Linked DNA regions of Callithrix jacchus. The protein of the gene in region 6 interacts with the protein of the main gene of each other region in a pairwise test. Links are inferred from orthologs where the notes say so. Each region holds a gene or a part of one and is shown on either strand. Other genes may lie near its edges.

The links.
Region 1: the proteins of CREB3 (region 6) and FDPS interact in a two-hybrid assay, tested with the Homo sapiens proteins (2 studies listed by BioGRID and IntAct). The two-hybrid records come from large-scale screens. The link is inferred for Callithrix jacchus from reciprocal best matches to the Homo sapiens genes CREB3 and FDPS.
Region 2: the proteins of CREB3 (region 6) and TMEM51 interact in a two-hybrid assay, tested with the Homo sapiens proteins (2 studies listed by BioGRID and IntAct). The two-hybrid records come from large-scale screens. The link is inferred for Callithrix jacchus from reciprocal best matches to the Homo sapiens genes CREB3 and TMEM51.
Region 3: the proteins of CREB3 (region 6) and MARCHF5 interact in a two-hybrid assay, tested with the Homo sapiens proteins (2 studies listed by BioGRID and IntAct). The two-hybrid records come from large-scale screens. The link is inferred for Callithrix jacchus from reciprocal best matches to the Homo sapiens genes CREB3 and MARCHF5.
Region 4: the proteins of CREB3 (region 6) and USE1 interact in a two-hybrid assay, tested with the Homo sapiens proteins (3 studies listed by BioGRID and IntAct). The link is inferred for Callithrix jacchus from reciprocal best matches to the Homo sapiens genes CREB3 and USE1.
Region 5: the proteins of CREB3 (region 6) and CACFD1 interact in a two-hybrid assay, tested with the Homo sapiens proteins (2 studies listed by BioGRID and IntAct). The two-hybrid records come from large-scale screens. The link is inferred for Callithrix jacchus from reciprocal best matches to the Homo sapiens genes CREB3 and CACFD1.
Region 7: the proteins of CREB3 (region 6) and SLC35H1 interact in a two-hybrid assay, tested with the Homo sapiens proteins (2 studies listed by BioGRID and IntAct). The link is inferred for Callithrix jacchus from reciprocal best matches to the Homo sapiens genes CREB3 and SLC35H1.

The regions. Positions count from the first base shown.
Region 1 is NC_133519.1:15,738,739-15,742,980, forward strand, and holds the start of FDPS (farnesyl pyrophosphate synthase), read left to right. Parts: upstream 1-1,357; 5' UTR 1,358-1,503; intron 1,504-2,176; 5' UTR 2,177-2,213; coding exon 2,214-2,389; intron 2,390-2,466; coding exon 2,467-2,629; intron 2,630-3,845; exon of another isoform or gene 3,846-4,194; coding exon of another isoform or gene 4,195-4,224; intron 4,225-4,242. UniProt on the Homo sapiens protein: Key enzyme in isoprenoid biosynthesis which catalyzes the formation of farnesyl diphosphate (FPP), a precursor for several classes of essential metabolites including sterols, dolichols, carotenoids, and ubiquinones.
Region 2 is NC_133508.1:52,502,419-52,506,717, forward strand, and holds the start of TMEM51 (transmembrane protein 51), read left to right. Parts: upstream 1-1,432; 5' UTR 1,433-1,623; intron 1,624-1,699; exon of another isoform or gene 1,700-4,299.
Region 3 is NC_133513.1:85,074,892-85,078,600, reverse strand, and holds part of MARCHF5 (E3 ubiquitin-protein ligase MARCHF5), read right to left. Parts: intron 1,731-3,709; coding exon 1,528-1,730; intron 1-1,527. UniProt on the Homo sapiens protein: Mitochondrial E3 ubiquitin-protein ligase that plays a crucial role in the control of mitochondrial morphology by acting as a positive regulator of mitochondrial fission and as an important regulator of immune response.
Region 4 is NC_133523.1:15,817,918-15,822,322, forward strand, and holds the start of USE1 (vesicle transport protein USE1), read left to right. Parts: upstream 1-1,467; 5' UTR 1,468-1,481; coding exon 1,482-1,583; intron 1,584-1,899; coding exon 1,900-1,949; intron 1,950-2,087; coding exon 2,088-2,166; intron 2,167-2,263; coding exon 2,264-2,416; intron 2,417-3,243; coding exon 3,244-3,253; intron 3,254-4,405.
Region 5 is NC_133502.1:182,067,734-182,071,442, forward strand, and holds part of CACFD1 (calcium channel flower homolog), read left to right. Parts: intron 1-539; coding exon 540-612; intron 613-2,341; coding exon 2,342-2,467; intron 2,468-3,709. UniProt on the Homo sapiens protein: Transmembrane protein which mediates synaptic endocytosis and fitness-based cell culling.
Region 6 is NC_133502.1:142,636,923-142,641,180, reverse strand, and holds the start of CREB3 (cyclic AMP-responsive element-binding protein 3), read right to left. Parts: upstream 2,975-4,258; 5' UTR 2,785-2,974; coding exon 2,650-2,784; intron 2,557-2,649; coding exon 2,409-2,556; intron 2,338-2,408; coding exon 2,270-2,337; intron 2,157-2,269; coding exon 2,067-2,156; intron 435-2,066; coding exon 328-434; intron 247-327; coding exon 178-246; intron 1-177. UniProt on the Homo sapiens protein: Endoplasmic reticulum (ER)-bound sequence-specific transcription factor that directly binds DNA and activates transcription. Plays a role in the unfolded protein response (UPR), promoting cell survival versus ER stress-induced apoptotic cell death.
Region 7 is NC_133506.1:41,596,845-41,601,320, reverse strand, and holds the start of SLC35H1 (solute carrier family 35 member C2), read left to right. Parts: upstream 1-1,591; 5' UTR 1,592-1,649; intron 1,650-4,476.

The DNA.
Region 1 (4,242 bases), on a different chromosome or scaffold from region 6:
AAAAAAAAAAGAATTGCACAAAATGCACAAACAAAGCAAAAAAGGAATGAAAGGATTTATTGAAAATGAAAGTATACTCCACAGTGTGGAAGCAGGCCTGAGTATAAAGGGCTCAAAGGCCCTGTTACAGAATTTTTGAGAGTTTAAATACCCTCTATCTGGGGTACACCCTATGTAAATGAAGAGGGTGAAGTAAAGTTAGTCATTTACTTGACCAACGCCCTGTGGAGAGTATATTTCTGGTCATAGCTCAAGTGTGAATCGGCCTTATGTTCCCTGCCTCCAGACCCTATTTTCCTGCCTCATCTCCCCACTGAGAGATGTGATCCCTATTTATGGAAGGTAGAGGAACCAGTGGTCTTTATTCTATAACTGCTTCATGCTGGCTTAGAGGGTAGTCCCTACCTATTGGGATAACTGAACTCTCACCCTGCTCTGTCTAGTGGAGGAAGGGTAGCTCCTTGATGGCCTGGGGTGGTGTCTTCACCAGGAACTGGCTGGAGCCTTTGTTGCATGATCGTCTGAAGCTTGAGAATAAATTAATTTGGTTAAAGGATGTAATGGGAACTTCAGGAGGTGGATACCTATGCTGTCAAGAATGTTTTTTATACAGATTTGCAGGAGAAAAATGAAACCTGCAACAGGAATGAGCCACCCCACTCCGGCTAATTTTTGTATTTTTAGTAGAGACGGGGTTTTGCCACGTTGGCCAGGCTGGTCTCGAATTCCTGACCTCAGGTGATCCGCCCGCCTCGGCCGTCCAAAGTGTTGGGATTACAGGCGTGAGCCACCGCGCCCGGCCAAGGTTGATCTTTAAGCCCTTAAAGCACTTTAAACACATGACCTCGTGGTATTATCACCCTCATTCAACAGATGAGGAAAGCTAGTTTCAAGGAAGTTAACTGAGGAGATATTAAATGATTTGCCTGAGTTGGAGAAATAATAAGTGACAAAGCTAGTCCTCCTGCGTTTTGCTAACAGGCCATTCAGCTGCCCAGGAAGATGTCGAAAATTGTAGTAAAGGAGGCAGTCAGAGCCAGAGCTGGGGCGTTCCCCACCTGGCTCGCTTCGAGCAGTGATACCTCCAGCCAAGCCCTCTAGGCTTCAGCCCTTCCATTGGTCGTCCGTCACAGTGCGCCATGCTCACACGAGGGCCAGGAGCCAATCTGTTCGGCTGGTCTCCGCCCATCCAGACCACGCCAGATTGGCGTTGTCTGTCCCTCCCGCGGCACGCTGGGAGTTGTAGTCTAATTATGCATTTCTGCCGATAGTGTGGGGAAAGCGAGAACTACTCGACCCATAGAGCCGAGCGCGGAATTGATTCTGCTTTTAGGAGTACCCGCCAACTAGCGGGACCGAGCAGGAACCCGCAACCAGGAACAGGTGAGACAGGACGTGTGCTGGGCCTTGGAGGAAGGGATCCGAGACCGTGCTTTGCTTCTGTAACAATATTGTGAGGCACGGGAAGCTCAGCCTGCTGTGTCAGAGTTTCTCCGTTTTGAGGTCGGTGGGCTAGACTGGCTGGCCTTCTCTAGGGGTGCAGAGACTTCCAAACTCTGCTCTTGTGCTTTCCTGAAACCCCCAGTATGCCCGGACCCCGGTATACTCCTTTGCTGCGAGCCCTTCTCTCCCGTCCAGAGTTGCTCCGACCCTATCTGCGCAGTCCTAGCGCTTCCTGTGAGTCTCGGGACGCGCGGTTCCAGCACCCCAGACCATATGGACGCAGCACCCATGGGTTCCGGCCCCAATGCTTCTCCTCTCCTTGGGAGGTAGCGCAGACCCTGGGCACCCCTCTCCATCTCCCAGGGGAGACCTGGGTTCTAGATTTGGCTCTGCCTCTACGATCTTTCTACCTCCTAGAGCCTCAGTTTGACTTGTGTAAAATAGGATGACTTAAGGGTCCTTTCAGCCCCTACTCCTGGGGTACTTTACTGTGTACCACGTCCTTACCCAGCCTGTGGACGCCGTCTTGAAGGCATTGAGTTCTAGCCTGTTGATAAGTGGCAATTAGTTGGGTCTCAGTCACCCAGCCCTACTTTTTGTTTCCTGCATATCCCTCCTCCAATTGTCCCTAAGCACATTCCACAAGAGGGAGGGGCACTCTGGGCTAAGGCTGGGGTGGGAGTGATCTGGGGAGCTGCCACCATGCCTCTGCCTTTGGTGCTTGCCCCTGCAGGGAGTGCTTGGCGCCCCCTCCCTATGCCACTCCCACGATGCCCTTGTCCCGCTGGTTGAGATCTGTGGGGGTCTTCCTGCTGCCAGCCCCCTACTGGGCACCCCGGGAGAGGTGGCTGGGTTCCCTACGGCGGCCCTCCTTGGTGGTCGGGTACCCAGTCCTGGCCTGGCACAGTGCCCGCTGCTGGTGCCAAGCATGGACAGAGGAGCCTCGGTGAGTGTGGTTGGGGTGAGGGGCCTTGGGGAGGGGAGCAGCTGGTCAGGTTTCTGACTTGTTCTTCTTCTCCTCAGAGCCCTTTGCTCCTCCCTCAGAATGAATGGAGACCAGAAATCAGATGTTTATGCCCAAGAAAAGCAGGATTTCGTTCAGCACTTCTCCCAGATCGTTAGGGTGCTGACTGAGGATGAGATGGGGCACCCAGAGACAGGAGATGCTATTGCCCGGCTCAAGGAGGTGAGGGATTCATGACTTGGGGGAGTGAGTCTTTGGCTTCGTTGCTCTGTATACACGTGGGATTCACCTGTGGCTTGTGGGGGGCTTTTGACAGATGTGAGAGAAGGCTTTTACCTGAGGGACTCAAGCCCACTCTTGAGGGGTTGGGGCCTGGGCAAGTATACTTATTCAGTCCGTCATCCTGACTTTTGGCTGTGATGGAAGGTGGGTCATCCAGACTGCTTTGCTTGAGGGTGGAGGCCTTGAGCCTGGCAAGTCTCTGATTTTGTGTCCTGAAATCAGAAGCTGCTACCTTAGCAGAGACTTGGGAGGAAGGCAGTCTGATGTTGTTCTGTCTCCCTGGGGTTTGAGTGAAATCATTGTATCATTAGCAACTCCTATTCTAGGGATGGATATGGTGGCTCACGCCTGTAATCCCAGCATTTTGGGAGGCTGAGTTGGGTGGATCACCTGAGGTCAGGAGTTGGAGACCAGCCCGGTGAAACCCTGTCTGAAAAAAAAAAAATCTGAATCTAAAGAGCTTTAACGATTAAAAAAAAAAAAAAAAGGAAAAAAAGAAACTCCTATTCTAGGACATGAACTATTCCTGTGATACTCGCTGTTTTTTTCCCATTGATTCTGGAGTATCTATTAAAATTCTTTTTATTTATTTATTTATTTTTTGAGACGGAGTTTCACTCTTGTTACCCAGACTGGAGTGCAATGGCGCGATCTCAGCTCGCCGCAACCTCCACCTCCTGGGTTCAGGCAATTCTTCTGCTTCAGCCTCCTGAGTAGCTGGGATCACAGGCACGCACCACCATGCCCAGCTAATTTTTTGTATTTTTAGTAGAGACGGGGTTTCACCGTGTTGACCAGGATGGTTTCGATCTCTTGACCTCGTGATCCACCCATCTCGGTCTCCCACAGTGCTGGGATTACAGGTTTGAGCCACCGTACCCGGCCCAAAATTCTTTTTATAAATGCTGTTTATCTCATGTATCTGAGGGGAACCAAGGGAAAGGGGGGGTTTTGCCTATACTGGAATAGGGATTAAAAGAGAAATCTTGGCCCAGCGAGGTGGCTCATGCCTATAATCCCAGCACTTTGGGAGACCGAGGTGAGCCGATCACTTGAGGTTAGGAGTTCAAGACCAGCCTACCCAACATGGCAAAACCCTGTTTCTACAAAAATACAAAGATTAGCTGGGCATGATGGTGTGTTCTTGTAATCCCAGCTACTCAGGAGGCTGAGCCGGGAGAATCGCTTGAACCCTGAAGGCCAAGGTTGGAGTGAGCCGAGATTGCGCCACTGCACTCTAGCAAGACTCTGTCTCTAAAAAAAGAGAAGTCTTGGCCAGGCATGGTTGCTCAACGCCTGTAATCTCAGCACTTTGGGAGACCAAGACAGGTGGATCATGAAGTCAGGAGTTTGAGACCAGCCTGGCCAATATGGTGAAACCTCTTCTCTACTAAAAATACAAAAATTAGCTGAGTGTGGTGCCATGCACCTGTAGTCCCAGCTGCTCAGGAGGCTGAGGAAGAATTGCATGAACATGGAGGTGGAGGTTGCAGTGAGCAGAGATCATGCCACCTCATTCCAGCCTGGGCAACAGAGTGAGACTCCATCTCATA
Region 2 (4,299 bases), on a different chromosome or scaffold from region 6:
CTGTCGAACTGTTAGGGTGCAAGAATGGGGGGCGGGGATAGCCACATGTTACAACTCGGCAGGTATACACACGTGGACACCGTGGACACCTTATGTACCCATGAATTCCGCTTTTGGAAGTGAACTTGACTGCAGCCTATTTTCGTCTGGAGGCGGTGGATTCCCGGTAGGAGGCGCCTTCAGTCCTCGGCTCGATCCTGCGACGCCCGCCAGCTGCCTAAAGGTTTCTCGGTGTTTGAACTTCAAAGGGCTGGACGCTCACCTAAAAAGGGGACCCGGCCTGACCTCTCTCGGAATTAAAAATAAAAATAAAAATCTAAGATTGAGAGAGGGAATGGGGCTGGCTCTTCCCTCTGTGTTTTGAATCCACGTTTTTTGGTGGTCTGGCTAAACCTAGCTCACCCTAGTTCGGGCGCCACAGCCACGCGGTTCTGAGGGCAAATCTCCAAGGGGCGGAAGCAGAGCCACGGGTAAGAGACGTCCGCGCCGAGTTCGGGTTTGCCCTCCCCGGAGCCAGGACTCGGCAGCAGCTCGCGGCCTCCAGGGATTCGAGCAAAGACTGGCTGCCCGCCTGCCACTCGCGGGGTAGAACACCAGCCGGCGCCTCGCCGAGAAAGTTCTCGGCAAACCTGGGGATGAGCCCTCAGCAAGGGTGGCTCCGGCGCAACGCGACCCCATCCAGTGCCCGCGCGCAGGAACCCGGAATGGGCCCCACCTGGGCCGGGACTCAGGCGTGCGGTCCCGAGGGCGCCCTAGGGACCAGGCCGCGGGTGGAGACCCTGGCCGAGGGCGTGAGCTGACTCGGTTTTTAAAAAACTCGCTTCCTCCTTCCCTACCTCTGCCCGTCACTCACCTCGCCGGGCACCAGCCCAGGGCAGAAGGTGGAGAGGTAGGCGGCGGCCTCCCCAGGAAAGGGGAGAGGTGAGTGTCTCGCCAGGTAAAGGCGCCGCGCGGCGGCTGGTGGAGCTGTACCTCCGCGTCTGCGCCTGGTCTGGGAAGGAAACGGGTCTCCCAGCTCTACTTAAACCCCTAAAATCTGGGACTCCTGGCTTAAGACATCCCCAGACCACCACCCGTCACACACACGCGCGCGCACACGCCGGCATATCGATTCCCTGGGCCCTAGGGAGGAGGGGGCATCAGGGCTCTATTTTCTCCCGATCCTCTCTCGTCCAACTCGTCGGGAAGAACTTAGGCTCAGTCCCCCAAGACGCACTGCGCACTCCCCCGGCGGACGCTAGGGAGTGGGCGCCCGCCCTGAGCAGTGGCGATCCCGCGCCTCGGGCTGGGGGGTGGTGCCGAGGGCCGCGAGGGAGGGTCGGCCGGTGGGCGGTGCTTCTCCGGGCTGGAGGCTGCTCCCGGCCGGCGCCGCCCTCCGCCTCCCGCGGTCCCACCCTCCCGCACGCCGGCGCTCCGGAGCCGCGCTTCCTGCGTCCCCATCCCGGTCCCTGAGCTGGCAGTGCGCTCTCTCCGCCGCCGCGTTCCCTCGGCTGAGAATCCCCCGAACTCCAGCCACGCGATCGCGGCGCCCCCGGAGTAAGCCGGCCGGGGCGCCGCGGGGGTCGCGAAGCCCCCAGCCCCGGGCCGCCCGGCCGAAACGGAGCCGGACTCGCCGCCTCCCGGGTGAGTCTGACCCGCCGCGCCTGGCGCCCGCCGCGCCCCGCGGAGTGCTGTGGGTTCCCCTCAGGGCCGGGGAAGGGGGTCGAGAGCCGTCTGGGTCGCCCGTCCGTCCGCCGAGCGCTTCCCGCCTGGGGTCGACCACCGGGAGGACTCCGCACCCCGCACCCTCAGCGACCGCGCCCCGCCAGTGCGGGACACTCTCGCCTTCCGTCACCGCGCCCGACCAGCTGGCCTGGGAAAGGCAGCTGGTCTTGGGGGCCCCCTGTTGGTGGGGACAGGTGCCCTCCTCCCGGCGGGCCTTGAACCCTTGACCTCGCCAGAGGTACCTTCAGTGCGTGGTTAGGAGCAGAACTTCCCAGTAGGTCTCGGGAAACCACCTTGGCGCTTTGCTCCCGCATCTCTTACTCCTCTACGGAAGTCGTGGCCTTTTAGGGATTTAGATTCGTGTTTGTGTGTGTGTCCTTTTAGGGATTTAGATTCGTGTGTGTGTGTGTGTGTCGCTACCAGTAAACACGAGGTTAAAGAATCGGACGTGAGCAAAGTGGATTGAAACTTGAGACCTTCCTCCATGAGCGCATCGGTTTCTTCATCTGTGGAGGGGACATGATAACGTCCCAGGGTGCGTCGGGACATTCATGCCCAGCACCCAGCAAGCACTCGGCAGTAAGTTAGGTTACCGGACTTAGTGGAGAACAGAATCCAAATCAGATCTCAAGTCAGCGCACAAACGGGAGGTGTGTGGCCGGGCGCGCCAGGTCTGCATTACAGGATGATGGTCTCTTTCCCGACCAGGGATGGGTGCCAGAGACCTGGACCCCTGCACGGTTTCCCCAGGGAGCAGCCGTGGGGTGCCCTGCACAGCGCTCCGAGGTGTTTGTGACGGTGCGTGGGGCTGCGGGTCCTTCCCAGCAGCGCTGGAGATCTGGGTGCTGGGAACCCGGGCGCTGCAGGAGCGGGTGGGCGGGGACGAGGTGGGCGGGGCCGCGACCAGAGCCTGCGGAGGTAGGGCAGCGGGTGGAGGGATTGCCCCTCTAGCGCAGGCTTCTGGCTTTCCTTTTGAATGGGTTACCTGGAGAACAGCTTGTCTAGGGAACTGTGGGCCCTGGGACCGTGAACAGCTTTCACACTCCGGAAATCCTGACCTGTTAGGACAGAGCCGCTGTCTCTCCAAATATCTCCCTCCACCGATTGTGAGAGATACCCCCCGGACTGGGAGAAAAGGCCAAAGAAAGAGAAAGAGAGGAGGCTGGTGGTGCATCTGCTCCTCATGGTGTCTGAGCTGACAGCTGCCTGATGGGGTGTCTTGAGGCCTGCCCCCGTGATCCAGGGCCCAGGGGCCTCAGGGAGCCTCCAGCCTAGTGACAGAGTCAGAGATAATCATGACAAGTGTTACAGAATTGGCAATACAGTTAGGTCACACCACTTTCTGGCTGTGCCTCAGGTTCTTCATCTGTAAAATGGAATGAGAACCTCCAAGGGCAAGGTGGGGTATTCATACCTAGCCCATGAAGTACTGTATAGTAAGTTACATCACGGGACTTAGGCAAGAACAGAAGAAAGGAACTAACTCAGGAGGTCCTGTGAAGAAAAGAATATTGGAATATTCCTCAGGAAACTAGAGTCTCCCCAGGGGACACGGCAGGAAGGGTGGCTGGGCGACGGAACAGCACAGGCAAAGGCACGGAGATAGGAAGGCACACTGGCTGTGCTGGGCTGGTGAAGGTGCTCAGGCAGTGGAGGGTGGGGAAAAGTAAAGGGAATGGAAAGTCTGGAATAAGCTGGACTGGACAGGTGGGGGCTATCTTGGAATCATTCAACAGATGTTGACTGAGAACCTTCTGTGGGCCAGGCACTGTCCTAGGTGTCCTAGGTGAACACCACGGAGAAAGATGTCCCTTTCATTCAAGTTCTCTAAGCAGAAGATAAGAAGACATTATCTTCTTAAACGTCTGATCCCATCCATACGTTAAGAAGATAATCCTGGCTGCCTGGAAGTTGGCAAGGATTCTCAAGAAGACTCCTAAGAGAGGCTGGCCTGTGGGTTGGTGGGGGCGGTGGGAATGAATGGGGGAGCTGGATGGGAGGCCCAGACAGGAAGCAGAGAGTAATATATGGCCCTCACCCATGACTGCTGGACAAGGGGGAGATTCAGGGGTTCTGTGTGAGGCCCAAACTGCCAGCCTGGTCTTCTGCCAGTAGTGAGCAAGTGTCTGAGATATTGGCAGGACTCAAGCCCCTCCACCTGCAGCTTTCCGGCTCTCTGGCTCCAGATGTCAGAGTCCTGGGGGTTTCCCTGTCTGCGTGAGGGATGGGAAGACTGGAGGTGGAAGGCAGCTGGAGCTTTGGGGGGGCTCCTATTTTAGTAGGATGTGTTTCTGGTCAATGTTCCTCCCTCCCTCTGCAGGGCTGGCTATAAAGCCCGCAGACCTCTTGGGCTGGGAGAGGTCATAGTGTGAGGAGCTTTAGCGTGGATTATCATCCCCCAGTCCCAAATTAAGGTGGGAGTCAAGGGAATGAGAAGCATTGTCTCCATGGGTACCAGGAAAGTTTCAGAAGCTCAGTTGCCTTCTGACTGGGGATGTGGTATGGGGGACTACTGACTTGGGATGTGGATGCTTCTGGCTGCTGACTTTTGCTTTCACTTTTGTTTCTGCGCTGAAGCTTGGAGGAATCCTCTTT
Region 3 (3,709 bases), on a different chromosome or scaffold from region 6:
GTGTCCATTTGAATATCTAAAACATCTAAAAGAAATACCATATACTTGTTGATTTTCCCAAATCTGTAATTCAAAGATGGGGCTATCTAATTTAGTAAAACTAAGAGCAAGAAAAGAAATTGGTTAAATAGGAAACCTTAACTTGGACTTTGAGACTTTCACCACATTAATGGTGGTGAAATTAATGTGGTGAAAGACTGTAGCAATCACTGCTTTTTCTGATAGTGGTTTAAAAAGACTGCTTTGATCTTACAATAAAAACGTTTTGGATTATTCTTCTGTGTTTATCTAAAATCAGTGGTATGCATTGAAGACCCATCACATGGTCCATAAATTCCCAATGTTTGAAAACACTACTTTCTCTACTATACTACTTTCCTTTCATAGGAAGCGATCATTTTTTCCTGTGCATGTTAGAGAAAAAGACAACCACGGAAATTTTGTTTGCCCTTATTAATCTTCTCACATTAGAAAAGCACTTCATTATCTGCATTTATGTTGCCTCATTTTCAAAAACATTGGTCTGATTTCAGTATGAATAACACTTATAAAAAACAATGTATCAGGGTGGGCGTGGTGGCTCACGCCTATAATCCCAGCACTTTGGGAGGTGGAGACGGAAGGAACAGGAGGTCAGGAGATTGAGACCATCCTGGCCAACATGGTAAAACCCGTCTAAAAACAAACAAAGAAAAAAACAGAAACAAAACCAATGTATCTAATAATTATTTCCAATTTTTCCTGAATTCCTCTGCCCCCAAAGCCATTCTTTCCTTATGACCTTCCCAGAATCCAAGCTGCCTTCCTACACCTCTTGGTTACAGCCAAGGGTTAACTGGCATGGTATAAACACCAAGCCAAGAGATTGACACCAATTTGTAACTGTATGGCTGTAATGGAACAGGCTCATTCAACCTCAGCCTTAGTTATACTGCTGCTAAAGAAGCAGTCTTATACTGCTTCTTATAAGCAGTCTGCTATACTTTTTTTTCCCATGCTAGGCCTGTTCTCCAAGATCTTTGGTTATTTCTTAACTGTCACTTCATAGAAAAGGGACAGCAGTATTCATGAAAGAAAGCACACATATTGGATTCCAAAAATAAATTTAACTTCATATCTTATTAAATCTTTAATGTCTCTACTTTTATTACTTAACAGGAAGAATTAAGGAGAAGTATTAGAATATACTACTGCTTTCTTTCTCTTATACCACCTGTCTCCAGAGAATTAAGCTAAGTCAGCTTTTTATTATAGCTTTGTTATTCAATTATATCCACACAAGTATGCAAGTTCTCTGTCAAATAAAGACAGTATACAGACAAATGGATAAATTTGGGGATATATTAAGGATACTGTTAGCAAAACAAATAAATGTCTCTGACATTCAGAGAGGAAACAAGAGAAAGAGAATATAGAAATTCACACACACACACCCCCACAAAACCAAACAGGTGGGTCATTTTAAAATAAACTTGAGACCATAAAGCTACATAAATATATCTGTGTTGTTTTTAAAGATATTCTTACCCAACTTTGGAAAAACTATTAGGTATTCAGCATTGCACTGAGGACATGCCACTCTGGCTGTACTGTTTCCTCTTTGCTTTTCATCCACCCAGCGTTGAAGACAGGCCTGGTGAACCCATTTTGTAGATCCTCTGCACCTGCATGGTCTCACCCATTCAGCTGTTCTATCATCTTCATCAGTAGCAAAACAAACCCAGCAACTTCTGTAAATTAAAAGATAAAATGACAACATTTATCTATACGTCTCCAGCCTCCTCCATACTGCAGCTCTTACTTAATGGGATAAGCCTACTATGTTATATTACATAATCTCTGTCCTATATTAAAAGACTATGGAGACAAAACAACCAATACATTCCCACTAGAGCAGTTTCTACCTTTTCTGTTTTTCCTTGTCTTCCTCTACAGAATTTTACATTTTCTGAATTTTGTTTTTATGTAATCTCTTCTATCTTTTCAGTATTTCTTCACCTTCTCTAATGAACCAGAGTGTAAGAAGACATACCTCAAGGTGCTTTTGTTTTATAAGACCTAATAATTCTTTGAGGAATAGTAAGCACAGTAATATTTTAAATTCAGCGTTCTCCCCAGTTCAGCACCACCAATCTCTTGCGCTTGAAAAAACAAAGTATTACACAAGTGATTTTACATATGGTCTCATTCCATTTTCAGCTGAGGGGAAAAAAAAACCCATTTCTCTTTCTGGTAAAGTATAAATATATGGGGAAAAATATTACATTTTCAAAAAAGCATAAAGGAGATAAAGATATCAAGTTTTTTTTAGGATAGCAATATGATAAATTTGGGTGTACATGCTTGAAATCTGAAATCTACAAGTATCAACTCTGGGATGCTTATATTAATAAAAATAAAATTCTATCGAGATGGGTAATTTTAAAACATTTTCCCACTTTGCTTTTAAGGGTACTTCATGAAGTCTAATTTTTTTCTTATGGAATAAGGTTGCAATTCCTCAGTTTTTCTCCCAATTAACACAAGTTTTGACATCGATTTCCATTAGGGCAAATACAGTTAATTCAATGAGACCATTCTCTCCTTCCCTCCATTAAAATATGTACTAGTGGAAACAACTGCTAATTAAAGCATGTTACCTACTGTGCACTTTTCACTTAATTGGATAAGTGGCTTCTATCAGAACAACTAGCTTAACTATGCTCAGTGGGAAAGACTATATAGTCAGGTATTACAGATGGGTGAGGTCTCCAGTCCTTGTGGAACAATGTGAATTTCAATTGTGTGATCCAATTATAAATTTTCAATTCTAACAGGAAAAAAGTTGAACTAAATCCATGGCAACGATATTTAAAATTCAGTCAGGTTTCATAAGATCTAAGCAAAATTAGAACGCAGGTAGCATTTGTTTAGCATTCTGACCCTTCTGACCCACTTTAGCTAAGCTGTCTGGGCATTCACACTGTCTTATGATTGTCCAAAAATACCCTGTTTTTTTTGAGATGGAGTCTCACTGTTACCTAGGCTGGAGTGCAATGGCGCGATTTCGGCTCACTGCAACCTCTGCCTCCCGGATTCAAGCAATTCTCTGCTTAAGCCTCCCGAGCAGCTGGGATTACAGGTGTCCACCACCACGCCAGGCTAATTTTTGTATTTTTAGTAGAGATGGGATTTCATCAGCTTGGCCAGGCTGGTCTTGAACTCCTGACCTCATGATCCACCTGCTTCGGCCTCCCAAAGAATATTTTCTTTTTTAAAAAAAAATAATCGTTATAAAATATACATAAAATCTATTTTAGCCATTTTTTAGGTTTATAATTCAGTGGCAGTAAGTATATTCATACTGTTGTGCAACCACCAAGACTACCCATGGTAGGACTGGGTGTTAATCTATGATTTTTGCATAAAACTTCAATTGCTAAGTATACTAGCACATAGACTGGTTGAGATGTTGCTAGTATATATTTTTCCCTACAACTGAGGTAACTTTGTGAACATATTTGTATACATCTACAAAATGGAATATATCATTTTAGCAACAAAATATTGACAGAATATCTAGACTTTTCATTCTCATACTTTATTTCAACACATATATAGCTAAGTATGGGTACGTCAGCATAACTAATCGGTATTAAGGTGAATCAAATTTTAAATTAATTCAATTTCAGTCAATAGAAAAATAAAATACATCTACTCATACAATCTT
Region 4 (4,405 bases), on a different chromosome or scaffold from region 6:
TCCCAGGTTCAAGTCATTCTCCTGCCTCAGCCTTCCAAGTAGCTGGAATTACAGGCTCCCAACATCACACCCAGCTAATTTCTGTATTTTAAGTAGAGACAGGGTTTCACCATGTTGGCCAAGCTGATCTCGAACTCCAGACCTCAGATAATCCACCCGCCTCAGCCTCCCTAAATTCTGGGGTTACAGGCGTTAGCCACCTTGCCGAGCCATCTATGGTATCTTCCAAGGACATCAGGCCCACTGGTGTGACAAGGTACAGATGACCTAAAGTGTGGGAAAAGATGAGGGCTGCATGCCAGGCCCTAGTCCCTGTGAAGCCCCCATCCTCACCCTGTCAGTCCAGAAGAGTGGCAGTGCAGGCGCAGGGATACTCAGCTTCCCAGTACTGAGGTGGGCTAGGAAGGAGTTCTCTCCATGGGGGTTTGGGCGTTAGGAGGGACCCAGCCCCACCTTGCTCAGTGTCAGGCAAAGTTGGCTCATGTCCTCCTTGAGGCAGGTACTGACACATTGTCCATTTCCCCCGGAGAAGAAACGGATCCAAAGAAGTTAAACTCGCCCAGGGCCAGGGATGGAGTCAGAGCTGGAGCTGCGACCTGGAAACTTGTAACAACAATACAGACGAGCCCCTCTGACGTGGAGGAAGCCTTGGATTCCTAAATCCCAAGCTAGAGCCCCTCCTACAAGAGAAATAGGGCCAGGAGCAGTACCTGGCACCTGTAATCCCAGCACTTTGGGAGGCCGAAGCAAGTGGATCACGAGGTCATGAGATTGAGACCATCCTGGCCAACATGGTGAAACCCCGTCTCTACTAAAAATGCAAAAATTAGCTGGGCGTGATGGCAGGCACCTGTAATCCCAGCTACTCGAGAGGCTGAGGGAGGAGAATAGCTTGAACCTGGGAAGCGGAGGTTGCAGTGAACCGAGATGGCGCCACTGCACTCCAGCCTGGCAACGAAGCGAGACTCCGTCTCAAAAAAAAAAGAAAAAACAGAAATTGGGAATGGCGCGTGGAGGCGAAACACCTCCGTCAGAGAATCTAGGCAGAAGTGGAGGTGGGGAAGGTACTTTCAGCAGGCATATCAGAACAAGAGGGCACATTGCACGTGTCCTCCGATTATTCTCGAAGGGTTAACACGTTCTCGAGGAAAAGAATGAGTAAGAAAGAGTGGGGTAGTGCCTCTCCTATTTTTTTAAAATAGAGGTAGGGTAGCGCTACGTTGCCCGGACTGGCCTCGAACTCTCGGTCTCAAGCGATCCGTTCTAACCTCCACCTCCCAAAATGCTGGGATTACAGCCCTGAGCCACCCTCTCCTGGCCCAGCGCCCCGCCTCAAAACAAGATACTACTTCCGCCCAAAAGAAACATGGGCTAACGAACGGGAGTAGGGGAAACACGTCCGCCCGGAAGACCAGGTGAAGGCATTTCCGCCCTCCGTTAACATGGAGCCGGCGGAAGGGGCGGGACACGGCCTGGCAATAATGGCGGCATCAAGGCTGGAGCTGAACCTGGTGCGGCTACTATCCCGCTGCGAGGCGATGGCAGCGGAGAAACGAGACCCGGACGAGTGGCGCCTGGAGAAGGTGAGGGGATCTCGCACTGCCGCATAGAGTCCGACTCACGCAGGGCTGGTTCCTAGAGTTGGAAGCCATCCGGCCCAACTCCCCAGCCCCAAGAGGCTCTCTGGCCGCGCCCTTTCCGGTCAGTCCTGCCACGTCTACCTGTAGCTTCCGCCCCTGTCCCTGGGACTCCGCCCCTCCCCCCAGTGGCCCTGACTCCTTTACTCTTGACCCCTCCCCATATGTCGGCCCCGCCTCGGTTCTGGCCCCGCCCCGCTCTGACTCCAATGAGCAGGACATGGGAAAGACCCCCGGGTGAGAATCCACTTTTCCTCCCCAGTACGTGGGAGCCCTGGAGGACATGCTGCAGGCTCTGAAGGTCCACGCGAGGTGAGTGCAGGCAGCCTCAGGGCTTTCATATCAGCATGTGTCTGTTCTGTTGAGACATCCCAGGACCGCAGTCCCAGCTGGGACCCTTCCCTTAGCTGGGGACCGTGGACAGGTGTTTTTCTTCTTCCTGGCTCCTAGCAAACCGGCCTCTGAAGTGATCAATGAATATTCCTGGAAGGTGGATTTTCTGAAGGGGATGCTGCAGGCCGAGAAGCTGGTGAGCAGGGGTGTCCCTGCCTGCTCAGACCGCACCACTGCTCACTTGGTCCCCAGGACCTGCCCCTCCAGTGACATCTCTTCCCACATTTGTGCAGACCACCTCCTCAGAGAAAGCACTGGCCAACCAATTCCTGGCCCCTGGCCGTGTGCCAACCACAGCCAGAGAGCGAGTGCCCGCCACGAAGACAGTGCATCTGCAGTCACGGGCACGGTACACCAGCGAGATGCGGAGTGAGCTACTAGGCACGGTAGGGCTCCTTCTCTGGTCCCTGGGAAACCCTTGGCTTGCAGGCAGCCAGACCCACAATACCGTCAGATACCAGGACCCACGGGGGTCCTGCAATCTCTTCCCTGGGCCATCACACAAGGCTGCCTGACAAGGGTACTGTGGCTAGGGCTTTGCAAGATGAATAGGAATTTGGTACAAGGCAAAAATGGAATGTGTCTGGTTAAGCCCCAGAGTTGGCCCAAGAGCGGGGTTTGGCTCCTAGCTTGCAACTTACAAGACAGGTAAGTTTCTTCGCTGTTAAAGAGGATGATATGTTCCTTTCTGAGCACTTTATGTGGATCAGCTCAACCTTTCAAAATATGAGCTGTTGTTGTTAGCAGTTTGTAGTTGAGGAAACTGAGGCTCAGAGGTCATGGGATTTCCCCAGGTCCCTAACTGAAGGTGAGGAGGTTAAGATCAGAAGGCACAGGTTCAGGAATGAGACAAACAGGGTGACTTCAGGGGGTGACTTCATGTCACTTACCTTTTTTGTTTTTTTGAGTTGGAGATTCCCTCTTGTCGCTCAGGCTGGAGTCCAGTGACATGATCTCAGCTCACTGCAGCCTCCACCTTCCAGGTTCAAGTGATTCTCCTGCCTCAACCTCCCGAGTTGCTGGGACTACAGGCACCCACCACCACACCTGGCTAATTTTTTGTCTTTTTAGTGGAGACGGGTTTCATCTTTTTGGCCAGGCTGGTCTTGAACTCCTGACCACTGGTGATCTGCCCAGCTCGGTCTCCCAAAGTGCTGGGATGAGAGGCATGAGCCACTGTGCCCGGCCTCATGCCACATAATTCTTTCCACAGGACTCTGCAGGTGAGTCACCATGGACACAACAGGACTTGAGGGCCAGCTGCCAGGACAAGACATGTATCCTTGCTGCCCTGTGGCCTCCATGCCCAGCCTGATGCGAACAGGGTCTTCCCCAGCCAGGGAGAATGTCACCAAGGGAGCATCACCAAATTACACCTGGATGAAGAGCCAGGACAGAGGAAGTGGCCCCCAGAGGAAACAAAGCTAGGCACTCCTGGTGGGCACAGTGGCTCATGACTGTAATCCCAGCACTTTGGGGTGCTGACGGAGGCACATCACCCAAGGTCAGGAGTTCGAGACCAGCCAGGCCAACATGATGAAACCCCATCTCTATTAAAAACACAAAAAATGATCCGGGCATAGTGGAGTATGCCTGTAGTCCCAGCTACTCTGGAGGCTGAGGCAGGAGGATTGCTTGAACCTAGGATGGGGAGGTTGCAGTGAGCTGAGATCACACCACTGTAGTCCAGCCTGGGTGACAGAGCAAGACTCCGTCTGAAAAAAAAAGTGGTGGCCAGGTTCCATGGCTCATACTTGTAATCCCAGCACTTTGGGAGGCTGAGGTGGGTGGATCACCTGAAGTCAGGAGCTTGAGACCAGTCTGGCTAACACGGTGAAATCCCATCTCTACTAAAAGTACAAAAAATTAGCCAGATGTGGTGGCAGGTACCTGTAGTCCCAGCTATTTGGGAGGCTGAGGCCAGAGAATTGCTTGAACCCAGGAGGTGGAGGTTGCAGTGAACCGAGATCATGCCTGGGCGACACAGCGAGACTCTGTCTCAAAAAAGCAAAAAAATTAGCTAGTCGTGGTGACGTACTCCTGTAGTCCCAGCTACTTGGGAGGCTAAGGCAGGAAGATTGCTTGAGCCTGGGAGGTGGAGGTTGCAGTGAGTTGAGATCATGCCATTGCACTCCAGCCTGGGTGACAGAGAAACTGGTGTCTCCAAAATAAGCAAATAAATAAATATTTTAAAGCTAAGTACTCCTAGTCTATGGGGCCAAGCCTAGGTTGGAGGCAGGGAGCTGGCATCTGAGGGAACCGAGACAGGAGTAAGGAGACCCTCGTAGAAGAGGGGCATTCAGGCATGGTCAGAAGTCAGAATACGACTGGGCAGCAGATGAGATGAGGAAACAGCGTTCCAAGCAATAGACCCA
Region 5 (3,709 bases), about 39 Mb from region 6:
GTTTCCATCTCTGTTCTGAGAGAGGCACCCCTTGTCCCAACCAAAATCCAAGCCATATTTTCTGAGTCAGAGGACTTCTTGTGTGGCCGGCCCTGTGAATGGTGACAAGTGACCCTTACTGAAGGCAGAGTCTCGGGGGAGCACTGGCCTGAATCCTTGAGGGACATTCTCTCTTTAATCCTAACCTCCCTTTGAGGTGTGCACTGACGCAGCTGGGGTCAAAGGGCCAGTTTCTCTGAGCCCTGGAGCGGAGAGAGGGCGAGATGCTCTCATAGCCTTCCCAGCGCCCAGAGCCGGCCAGCTGTGAGATCAACTTGCCACCTTGCTGCCACCTTGCTCTGGGGCCTGGGGCGAGCCATGGCACCACTCTGTGTCTCCCCACCTGTCTCAGATGATAGAGGGCAGGCTTCTGGGTGTCATGAGAACTGTGTGCTGCGCATCCGCAGGGACTCTGGTGCTTTCCAGTCATCTCCCCAGGCCGCCATGCCAGCGGGCTCTGCCTGCCTCCCACTGACTTCTGCCGTGTCTCTTGTTTGAAGCTTGTGCGATCTCTGGCCTCTTCAACTGCATCACCATCCACCCTCTGGACATTGCAGCCGGCGTGTGGATGATGTGAGTAGTGCATGGCTGTCCCACCCCAGGGGTCCTGCGGGTTGGGGGTCTTCGGGGCACCCCGCGGGGTGGAGGAGAGGCAGGGGCTGCAGGAGCTGGTGTCCTTGAGGTTGCCATGGTTACTGGCTCCCACCTGAGCGCCTCAGGGCTCATGGGTTTCTGGCCACAGCATGGGTCTTCTCCTACTTCCTACCCCCACCATGTTCGGTTTCCCAGTGAGAGGTCAGGGTTTGGGGAATGCTCACCCCGGCCTTCATCCAGTGCAGGAGGCCATCCAGTACTCCAGACATTCCTGGAGCACCCACTGAGACTGCAGGTGCCAAATCCACTAAGCTGGGGCCCTTGCCCTCTGGGAGCTCCCAGGATGGGGGTGGGGAAGGCTGTTTGTTGGGGTTGGCTGAGGACTGGGTTGGAGGGTCCACTGGGAGAGGGTGCTCTAGCTCGGGGCTGTGCCAAATATGGGTGGGAGAGGCAGGTCAGAGTGGTCATGGGAACCTGTGGTCAGAACACCATCACGTGCGTTCCATGACCGCCTCCTGCCAGGTGGCACCATCCCATCGGAAGGGAAGGTGCAGTGAGGGCACATGAGAAGTGGCTGTGTACCAAGAATTTATGAGTGTCCTCGTGGGGCTTGGTCTTGAGGGGTACTGAGATGGACGAGATTCAGGTCCCTTCCTCAGTGACCTATGGCTAGTGGAGAGCCTTGGGGGCTTGCTGTTGTGGGGTCACCAATGCCTGTGTTTGCCAGTGGTGGATAGCAATGGGGATGGACAGAGGAGAGGCGCTGGGCCCAGCCTCGGGGTGGCATCAGAGCCTGGCCGAGTTTGCAGTGGTAGGGCTGGCCCAGCACAGAGTGAGTTGATGCTTGGAGGCCTGGTGTGTGGGAGGCTTGGGGCCGGATGCAGTGGTTAAAAGTTGTGAAGAGAGTCTCTGCCCTGGGTTTAGGGTGGCTCTGGGGTGTCCTGAGCTGCATGTCTGTTACACAGGTGTAATGATGGCACATTTCTCCTAGGCTTGGGGACAGACAGAAGGGCCTGGCTCAGTGTCTGGTAACTGACTGTTACCCACACATTGAGAATACCAAGACCACGGCAGACACTCTCTGTCACCAGTGGCTTAGCTGTTCCCACCCCAAACACGGGGCCGGATGCAAGGACTTGTTAAAGTTCTTCCTCCCAGCGTGGGCTTCCCCTGGGTGTCCCTGGGCCTTGGGCTGGTGGCATTGGGTATGTGGGCAGCCCTCCGTGACTGTTTTGAGACTGCCTGGCTCCAGCTCTCTGCCTCCCTGGTGGGGCAGCCTTCCTGATGCTGATGCCACTGATGGATGCTGGTGGCCGTGGCGATGTGAATTAACAGCAGACAGAGCTGCCAGGTGCTCCATCTGTGGGCACCCTGCCTCAGCCTTACAGCAGTGCCATGATGTGGGGTACTCTCCTCCGTCTCACACACAGGAGGATAAAGGGAAGCAAAAGCCCGGGGGCTTCCTCTAGGAGTGTTGAGTTCAGCTGGGGAGATGGGTGTGCAGGAGCAGCTGGGGAGTGCTGGAGTGTTCAGCAGAGGCTCTTTGGTGGGTATAAGCAGGTGCCCTGGAGCAGCCAGGCACCTTCCCAGAGGAGGAGGGATGGGGGCAGGAGGGCGAGGGAGGTGGCATTCATGTGGCACTGGCACTGTGCACCCCCGTCCCCTGGGATTGTCAGTCGATGCTTTTCTCCTGCCCTGCTCCCTGCAGTATGAATGCCTTCATCTTGTTGCTGTGCGAGGCGCCCTTCTGCTGCCAGTTCGTCGAGTTTGCAAACACGGTGGCGGAGAAGGTGGACCGGCTGCGTTCCTGGCAGAAGGCTGTCTTCTACTGCGGGTGAGGGGCTGCTGGGCAGGGTCCTGTGACACAGTTCCCCAAAACCCACTGACAAAATGTGACCCACAGGTCAGGTGAGGGTGGGCAGTGTATGCGTCTCCTCTGTGTAGAAGTGTAAACCCGGACGGCCTTTGTGCAGTGATTGCTGATTGCTGCCAAACCTGCCCCAGTGGTTCTGCACCGGGAACTCAGCTGTCGCTGTGCTGCAGTCACTGGAAGGTGTTTGAGCATGCGTGGCAGCATTCCGTGCAGCTGAGAAAAGGGAAGCGTCTGGAACTTTGGTTCATCCACTGGGTGTTGTTAACCAGATGATAGTAGGTCTGTAGGATGTGTTTCTGAAGAGTGGGCTGATGTAGGTGTCCTGACATGAGAGAGGAGAAGCAGGTTGTAGAGCAGAAAATGTCGTTGCCCTCTAAATGTGCTTGTCAAAGTTTTTCCCATTTCTAACAACGAAATCAATCTGTTATACGTCTCCTCTGAGTGGTACGATGGAACTAATTTCAGGATAAGCGTAATACATGGAAGCTCCTAGAATAACGCCCCTGGTGGACAGGAGGCTGGCGGCAGCAGCATTTATCACTGTCCAGGTTACCTTTCGAAAGAGGTGCAGGTGCAAGCTTGCTTTCCCTTCAGAGAGGCCCAGTAGTTTTGATGGTAAGAGCAGAAGCCTGGTGCTTAGCCCTGGAGCCGTCTTCTGCTCTGTCTAAATCACGAAGAACACAGGATCACAGACCTCAACTTCCGCAGTGTCATGTCCTTCGGAGTTCAAACAACTGTACTTTAAAAATGCTAGCCATACTATAAATTCATTAACTATGATTTGGAAGATGGAACAGTGTTACTTGAAGCCAGCTGCCTCCTACTCTTCTGATGTGTGTGCTTCCTGTCTGCGGGCGTTTTTTAAAAGCCTGCTTTTAACACAGCTATCACCATTATGAATAAGTTTGTATCCTGCTTTTTTCACTTAGTGTAATGATATAAGCATTTTTAACATCACTTTTAATATAGGAATATTCGTTCAGCTGGATGTATCATGGTTTTCTTAATTTCTTAACTGGTATAAATCGAACTGCGATAAGCATCTATCTGCTAAGACTGTTTCTGTGTTTATGATGATTTCCTTAAGATCTGTTTTCAGGTGTGGCATTATCGGGTCAAAGAGTCTAATCGTTAAAAGTATTTTAAGATGTGTGGCTACATTGCTTTCCAAAGAGGTCACTTGAGTCTCTTCCGTGCCCCTGC
Region 6 (4,258 bases):
GTAAATGTATTCCCCACTACTATGAGCTTCTTGGAATCAGAGACCTAGTGAAGGCCAGGCACCAGACCTAGCATTTGAGAGCTGCCCAGTTAGAAATCAAGTGTAAGGCAAGGGAAAAAAAGTGAGAAGGCATTAAATGAGGGGCACAAGAAGGCAGTGGTTTGGAGGGAATCTTACAAATTCTGTTCCTCCAGAAGCTGTACTTTGTTCTGAAGCTCCATATTCTGGGCTGTGTATTTCAAGACCCTGGGGGAAATAAAGATATGGGTATATGACCTGTATCCTCCCTTCAAAAATCTAACAACTGAGTCTCTCTCCCTTTCATACCTGCTCTCTAAACCCCCAACATACACCTTCTTCTTCCTGCGGCTCTCTTGAGCAGATCTTTTATTTCGAATCTTCCTTCGCACACGTTTCAGAATTTGTTCCTCCATCTGAAAGCAAACAGGGAAAGGGATACCATGAGAGGGACTCTAGACCAAGGAGTTGAAAGGCAACTGAGATCAATCTCTTTCCAATGCAGAAATCTCTTCTACAGCTTCTCTGACCAATAGGCATTCAGTTTCTTTCTGAATGCCTCCACGGACCAGGTGTTAACCCTAACAAGCCAGACCATTTTAAACAATTAAAAAAAAAAATTGGTCAGGCAATATGCAGCCAACGTGGCTTATGCCTGTAATCCCAATACCTTAGGGAGCTAAGGCAGGAGGACTGCTTGAGCCCAGGAGTTTGAGACCAGCCTGAACAACATATTGAAATCTTGTCTCTACTAAAAATAAAAAATTAGCTGGGTGTGGTAGCACACACCTGTGGTCCCACTACTCAGGAGGCTGAGGCAGGAGGATGGCTTGAGCCTGAGAGGTCAAAGCTGTAGTGAGCCATGATCTTGCCACTATACTCCAACCTGGGCAATAAAGAAAGAACCTGTCTTTAAACAAAACTTTCTTATCCTGAACCAACAGCTGCCTCCTTATAATTTCTATCCATTAGACTTACCTAGTATTTCTGGGGCCAAATAGAATGAACTGTGTTAGCTATTTTAAGGCACTTAACATTTCCTCAGAGCTTAAAAAAAAGAAAAAAAAACTTACACAAAATTTTTAACATCATCTTAGGATAGCCTGCATCCTCTTAATATCTGTCAAAGATGGTCTCAAAATTGGACATTAAGATGTGCTCTACCCAGTATAAAGGAAAGCAAGAGAGTCACTTATAGAGGCAATAACTCTATTGCTACAGTCTCCAAATTCCATTCACTTTCCTAGTAGCCACATCACACTGCCGATTCATCTTGTACTTTGAAGAAATTAAAATTCTGCACTTTGGTAGCTCCAGGTGGGTAGATCACTTGAGCCCAGGAGTTCAAGACCAGCCTGGCAACAAGGTAAAACTCCATCTCTACTAAAAATACCAGAAAAGATTTTGCTGAGCAGGGTAGTATGCACCTGTAGTCTCAGCTACTTGGGAGGCTGAGGTGGGAGAATCACCTAAGCCCAGAAAGTCAAAGCTGCAGTTAGCCATGATCACACCACTGTACTTCAGCCTGGGCAACAGAGCAAGACCCTGTCAAAAAGAAAAAATTCCTGTAACCTTTTTATTAATGAGCACTGATTTCATCATAGTATCACAGTACTCTGCTTGTGAAGTTGCTGCTCATTGCTTAAAACTTAAAACTCAGGATTTTACATTTATTCATGTCCTGCTTAGTCCACCCCTGTTGAACTCTAAACATTTTTACCATTCAGCAAGAGGTAGACTACTATCAAGCCAATGAAGTGTCAAGGCCCTTCACTTACACAGTCCTTTCCAAGGCCCAATACTAAGTTACATTGATGATTTTTTTTTTAGGCAGAACACCAAAATTTGTATAAGTAAGCCCAACAAATACGAGTATCTGCCCTTGCATCTAGCACATTAGGTACCTGCCCCAACTTCTTATTAGCAACAAATCTGCTAATTTTCTCAACTCAATCCTTTTTTAAAGTTATTGATATAAAGTTAACAAAACTGGCCTACTTGGGACTCTTACTCCCTTTCAGCCTTTGCTCAACCAATGAGAGTCTTACCTTAGTGAGAGGAAGTGTCTCAGGCAGAATAAGCCCCTCCTTCTCCAATAGACTCTTCTCCTCATCTGTCAGTACCAACCTAACAGTCTCCTAGGGTAACAAGAAAGTGGGCAGCAGTTGCATGGGGATGTCAGAGAGGAATGGGGAATCCTGCCCCACCTGGGGAATGTGAGAGTAATCTTCCTGAAAATCAAGTCAAGTACCTGCTCTGCCATTTCCTCCACATGCTGTGTAGTCATCTGGGTCTCCTCTTTTCCAAAGCTCTCACTCTCTGCAAAAGGGAAAGTATGAATAGCCAGGCCCATGAATCCTCTCCTCCCAGCAAACTTACTTCAGACTCACCTAGATCAACAGAGACAGCTTCCTGTGGGAGGGAGTAGGTGTGGTCGTGGTGGACAAGGCAGGGGTTGGAGGAGCTGAGAACGTTCAACGATGCTGGGGGACTCAGCAGTGAGCTCAGCAAATCATCTAACTCCCAGTCACTCGGTACCTGCGCAGGGTTCCAATGAACAGGCCTTGACCTATAACCATCACCTGACCTCATGGACATCCCACGCTTTCCCCAGTCGCAATCCCAACCCACCTCAGAAAGCAGCAGCTCCCAGTCCAGTGGGGCCCTGATGGCCTCGTGCGCCGTCCCCAAATCTCCACTTGCCTCTAGCAGGAAGCCCAGCAGGTCTTCGTCACCAGGATCCAATTCTAGCTCCATTTGAGACATCTACGTAAAGGGTGGGCCACGGGGCCCCAACGTCCGAAGCCCAGACACGAGTCCCAGATCAGCTGTCGGCCTTTGGCACTTTTCCACCGCCCCTCTACGGCCGGGCTTCCCCGCCGGGGCTATCCGTAGCCCTCTCCGGACCCACCTCCCAGGCTCAATTCTCCTCAGCCTCCAACACAGCGAAAGTGACGCACCCGGCCCCGTGGCATTCTGGGACTTGGAGTTCTCTCCAACTGGAAGGCGGCCTGGGTGCCGCGCCACGTCCCAAGGGCTATGCAAATACAGGGGACGGCCCTGCCGTCGCCTCGCACCCCGAGGGCGGAGGCTCCGGGGCTCCGGCTCCGCCTTCTCCCCCAGGCTGGAAAAATTAAGAGTTCAGGCCTAAAAGGAAGCTCAGGCGTCATCCGGGCGTCGTCTCAGCATTGCGCCGTACCCTCGCTTCCTGCCGGGGAGTGGCTGCCGGGCTTCGGCGGCTCCTGAGCATCGAGACCGGGGCCAGAGCAGCTTCCTGCCGGCCCCACGACCATAGAGCGCGAGCCCAGGGCGCCGCCCGCGGGTGGGGGACGTTCCTGGGACGGAAGTGGCCGAGGGAGTGTCGAAGGGAAGGCGAGGCCGGAGCCAGAGGGCGACCCGAGAAGCCTCAGGGCTGCGGGCCGGCGGGCAGGGCGCAGAGCCAGGCAGCGCAGGTAGGTTGGACCGGACCGGGCTGGGCCGGGCGGGGGCCTTAGGGTGGGGCCGCGGAACCTGGCCCTGGTGGCGGGCAGGCGGGGCCCTGCCTCTCCTTCGTGTCCGGTTCGGGTCCTATTAGTAGGAGAGGTCAGGGTCCAGCGCATCTCGACCTGGGCTTGGCGTGAAGTAGGCCGTCTTAGGGGAGACAGACCTTTCCTCGGAGCAGTCCTCTGCCTGGGATAGGCGTTGGGGAGCGTGAGGAGTCGGGTGGCAGCGGGGCGCAGGGCGGGGACGGGCTTTGGTGTTAGCTGATAGCGGGCATGTGGGTAGGAAAGCTTTGGGTGAGTTGCAGATTAGGTGGGATCGGTTTAGGAATGAGGGGTCGCTGTAGGAGTTAAAAGCTGGAGTTAAAACTTGAGTCAGTGTGAGTCAGGTCCGTTTTGGATAGGTAAGGTTTAGATTAAGGTCATTATTTTGTTTACTGGCATGGCCAGCATTCGTCATAATTTGAGTTCAGGATCGGGTTAAGGGTCAACAACAGGAATCAGGTTAGAAATCTGTTTGGGGGATTAAAGAACGTTGGCATGCTCACTATTAAGAATAAACAGTGAAAGGGTGAGTTAGGAATCAGTTTACAAATGAACTTTAGGCTTTGGGGTCAACATTTAGGGTTAACATCAGGGGATTTGGTGCTAAAGGTAAAACGTAGATCAGTGTTAGGGTTCAGGGATTGAATATGGGTCTTTGCTAGGAAAGAGATGAATGTCCAAGCCAGTACTGGGAATCAGAAAACAAATTAGAGGTG
Region 7 (4,476 bases), on a different chromosome or scaffold from region 6:
TGTACAAACTGTGGTTCCTACTAACAGCTGTTTGTCTGTACTTGCTCCCTGCCCAAGGGTGAAGATTTCACCTTGACAAGACTTCATCGCAGTGTGTCTGGGAGACTCTGGAGAGCTCCAGCTGGAGCCCTTAGTCACCTTCCAAGAGTCCCTTCCTCCTCCTCATTCACTCCTCCCACACATACACACACACAGACACATACCTGCTGGTGAAGTATGCTCACAGATTGTTGTACTGGGACAAAGCGTTTCTGCTCAACCCTGCTGGGTACAGCAGCCTAAGGCATACTGTACACCCCCATGAACACATCCTGCCTCTTCTCCCTGCCAGGGACACAGCCAGGCAACAACTCGAGTACTTGTGCCTTACAAAGAAGACATGCTCTTTACCCTGTGTGTTGCCTATGCTTAGTGCCCAGCCTTCCAGCTGGTGTTTTAGGCTGTTGCTCCAAACCTTGGCCTTGGTAGCTGGGAGGCTTGAATGAGGGTGGTGATAAAAATAGATTACTTTCTCTTGCCTCTGAGAGAGAAGGGTGTGAGGAAAAGCTCTTTCAAAAGGTATAGAAAGTGCATGCAATACAAGCCTTGAGGGCTGAATAAAGCCAAGACCTTGGGCAGTGATGGGTACCATTGTAGGTGCTTGGTAAGCATTGAATGAACTAATGCCTGCAGGATGCCAGCTGGCGGCAGTGACGGCAGCAGTCTGCACAAAGCACCGCTTACACTCTGGCCTTGAGCCTTCTGTTCAGAGGGGCCAGGGAGCCCAGCTGAGTCACTTGCAAGGATCCATGTTTGCAGCTGGTCTTTGCCAGAGAACCCAGGAGGAGGCTGGAGGAGGGCAAAAAGCACAAAACTGGGTCTGAAAGTGCAACCCTAGCTTGCCCTGCCCTAATGATCTTGGCTGCAAATGCTGCCCTTTGCATCCATCCTGCAAGATGAAAATATGAACTCCCTAGGCTGGCATTTTGGGGCCACTGCAACCTGCCCCTTGGCTACTTTTGAACCACCACAGTTATAAACCTGTGCCCCAGGCACGGCTAGAGCTTTCTCGCCCTCCTTTAGGATTCTGCCATCTCCTCTATCTGGGATGCTCTCTCCCTACTCAACCTATTGAAATTGAAATAATTCTTAGAAAGTTTCATATAGAAAATATTTCACAAATGTTTCTTATTACTTCTGGATCGCCTACATTGTAATGTCCCCAGCTGGCTTGAGCGCCCAGAAGATAAAGCCCATGAGATACTTATCTTCGTGGTTCATTCCATGGTTGCCCAGCACTGGACTGGACATAAGAAAAACAATTTGTTCAGTAAAAGTAAACAAGTGACCGTTTTTGGATGCCCACTGTGTGCAGAACACTAGCAGGTACCGGGGTTCGAAAGCAAGCCCTTGCTTGAGCGCAGGAGAGGTGCAAACAATTATAATACACGGCTGTGCTCTGCGCCAGAGGGACTTCGCGGAGGACTAAACTGTGCTGTACCTCGAAAGGACCCGACCACCAAAGATGCCCCGCCCCCACCTTTTCTCCCCGGCTCCGCCCAGCCCCTGCAGCTTCCGGCGGAAGTTACCGACGCTGCCGCGGTTCGGCTGCGTCATCCGGTCTCACACTTCCGGTGGGAAGATTCCGGCCGGGAGTTCCCCAGGCCGAGGTGAGTGGCCGCGCGGCCGGGCGAGGTCTCGGGCTGGGTGGCCGGGGTTGGAGCCGGGAAGCGGGCTCTCCGCCCGGGCTCTGCGCGTTGGCATGGGGCACGTCACGCCCCTGTCCCTCCCCGGACCTCAGTTCCGCGGTCTGAGGAGGGGGCAGAGGTCTCCAAGCGCCTTCCTGTAGGGCACTGCCCCACGCCGGTTCATCTGGTATTCACTGAGCACCTGCGACGTGCTGGGCGCGGGACCCAGGCCGGAATCGGACAAGGCCCTGCCCTCGGAGAGGCTGCTTCCCGCGGTGGGGTTGGGGCGGGCAGTAAACACGTGAGCAAACAAGGAAACGTCAGAAGTGGGAAGTGCCACGAGGATTGGGAGGGGTGGGGCATTGGGGAAAGTATTCAGTCAGGCGGAGGTCTGCGGAAGGGTGCTGAAGGCAGAAAGAGCTGCAAGTAAAGAAAGACACAGGGTTAATGTGTTTGACACATGGCAGGGGGCCGCTGTAGGGGGTGCTGGGGCCAGTGGCAGAAGTATGCAGTTGCAGCGGCACGATCGTGAGAGGCCTTCCTTGTGGACCTGGCTGAGGAGTTGGGCTTAGCTTTGGGGCATGGTCTGTTTTGTGTGCCCACAGCATCTCTGGCTGCATTATAGATTCCAGGTCTTAGGGGTGAAAGAGGAAGCAAGTTAGACCAGTAGTAGTCAGGAGGTGAAAGATCATTGTGGCTTAGACTGTGGTAGTGGGAATGGAGGGGAATAGAAGTAGATGGGTCAAGAAGTGTATTGAAGGTGGAACTGGCAGGGCAGAATTTGAGAAAAGATGGAAATAAGTGGTCAAAGATTACTTCATCGTAGATTTTTGGTTGTGGCTTAAGTAACCAAGTGTATTATGCTGGCATGTACTAAATCACTCTGGGATAGATTGGGGACATGAGAAATAATTATGAAATCTTCTTAAGGCAACTTAAGTTTTAGATATTTGAAGTGCAGCTACCAAATAGGCAGTTAGATATTACCAGTCTGATACTTACAGAAAAGGTCAGGGCTGATCTAAAGAATTTAGAAATTATTGGTAAGTGGATTGGGTAGGATGAGATTATGTAGCGTAAGATTTAAGAGAGAAGAGAAGCCAGGTTCCACGCTTCAGGCACCAAATTTTTGTAGATTGAGTTGACAAGAAAGTGCCAGCAAAAAAGACCAAGAAAAAGTCCAGAAAAAAAACAGAAGAAAAACCAGGTGGATGTGGTATCATGGCACCCAAGAGAAGATTTTTTTCTAGGAGGAGGAAGTGATCCATTTTGTAAGATAAGCATAGAGACTAGGCCTTTGCCGGGGTAGCAGGGAGGAGGTGTGGTAGGTAACCCATCGGAGCAGTGGAGATGGGCTGAAGTGAGGACAGGAGGTGAAGGAGTGGAGCTGACAGTGAGGGACCCTCTGAGGAAGTTTCACCACAAGGGGACCAAGAGGGGAGTAAGCCTCTACCATGAGCCAGCATTTAATGCTGCACCTGATGCCACTTTACTGAGTCCAGAGGTCTCTCCCTTTATAGTTGGAGAAACTCGGGTCAAGAGGTCAAGTAACTTAGGGTCACACAGTAGTGAGTAGGGACAGTAAGAATTGATTATTGGTCTCTAACTCCAAAGCCCACACTCTTAAGCGCTAAACCATGCTGCCCAAGTTACAGTTAGGAAGACTGAGGGAAGCAGGTGCCACAGTGATGCACCAGCCAGCCTTAACTTGATGTGACTGCTGCCCCCAGCCAAGCTGCTCTCTGTGGAAAGTGGGGCAGAATATGGACTTTCCTTCCTGAGCAAATGAGATTTCGAAAAGAGCATTTACCCCTTTAAATCTTCTTTCCCTTATAAAATAAGGGTGGGCATCTTTTCAGTTTCATGTCTTTGTCTCCAATGGTGGGCCTACAGGAGTGCTTCATAAATGCCCATTAAGTGCCTAGATGATGTCCAGGGACCCCTCTAGCTGAGATTTGCCTTTGTGTTTGTGGATAGGTGACTGTCTGAATCCTAATAAGAAAATGAGTTAACTTTGAGACACTGCTCCTTAGGTGGGGTAGCCATGGGGACTTCTTGGAGGCAGGGGACCTGGGCCAGGTGGTGAAGGAAGGTCAGCATTTGAACAGTGGAGGAAGGGCGTTGCAGTGCTGCAGCAGGAAATGCAGCAAAAGCAGTAACTGCAAGAAGTTGATTAACAGAAGAGTAAACAAACTTTCCTGCCTTGGAAGCCACAGGAGGACCCATGAGGGGAGAGTGCCAGGAAGAAAGCTCTCTTAGTGCCAGCATGTCCTGTGATTGCCTGTCACAGAACAGGGTCAGCAGTGGTTCTTCACAGGGACCAGGTTTGGTCCCCAGCTTACATATGGCTGTGTTTATTTATTTTTTGTTTGTTTAGAGACAGAGAGAGAAACAGCTAACTCTCACACTGAGTGAGAGAATCCAGAAAGATGGAATCCAGGAGAGGAAAGCAGCTTCCACACTGAGTGGAAAGGAATAGAGAGAGATGGAGTTTAGGAGGGGAACACAGGCTTCCACGAGAGACTGTGGAAGGGAACCCCAGATGGGAAATCCAGGAGAGAGGAAGATTGCTCCCACAAAGGGAGTGTTCGTGGAAGGGATCCAAACATGGAGGCCATGGCTATGTTTAGAGACATTCTTGGGTATCACAATTTGGGATGGGGGAAAGGATGTGACAGGTGTCTGGTAGGTAGGGGCCAGGGATGTTGCTAACCACCTTACCATGTACAGGATGGGTCTTCTCCCAAAGAATTATCTGTCCCCAAACAAGGGGTATTGCCAAGATTGAGAAACCCTGGTATAGAGGAAA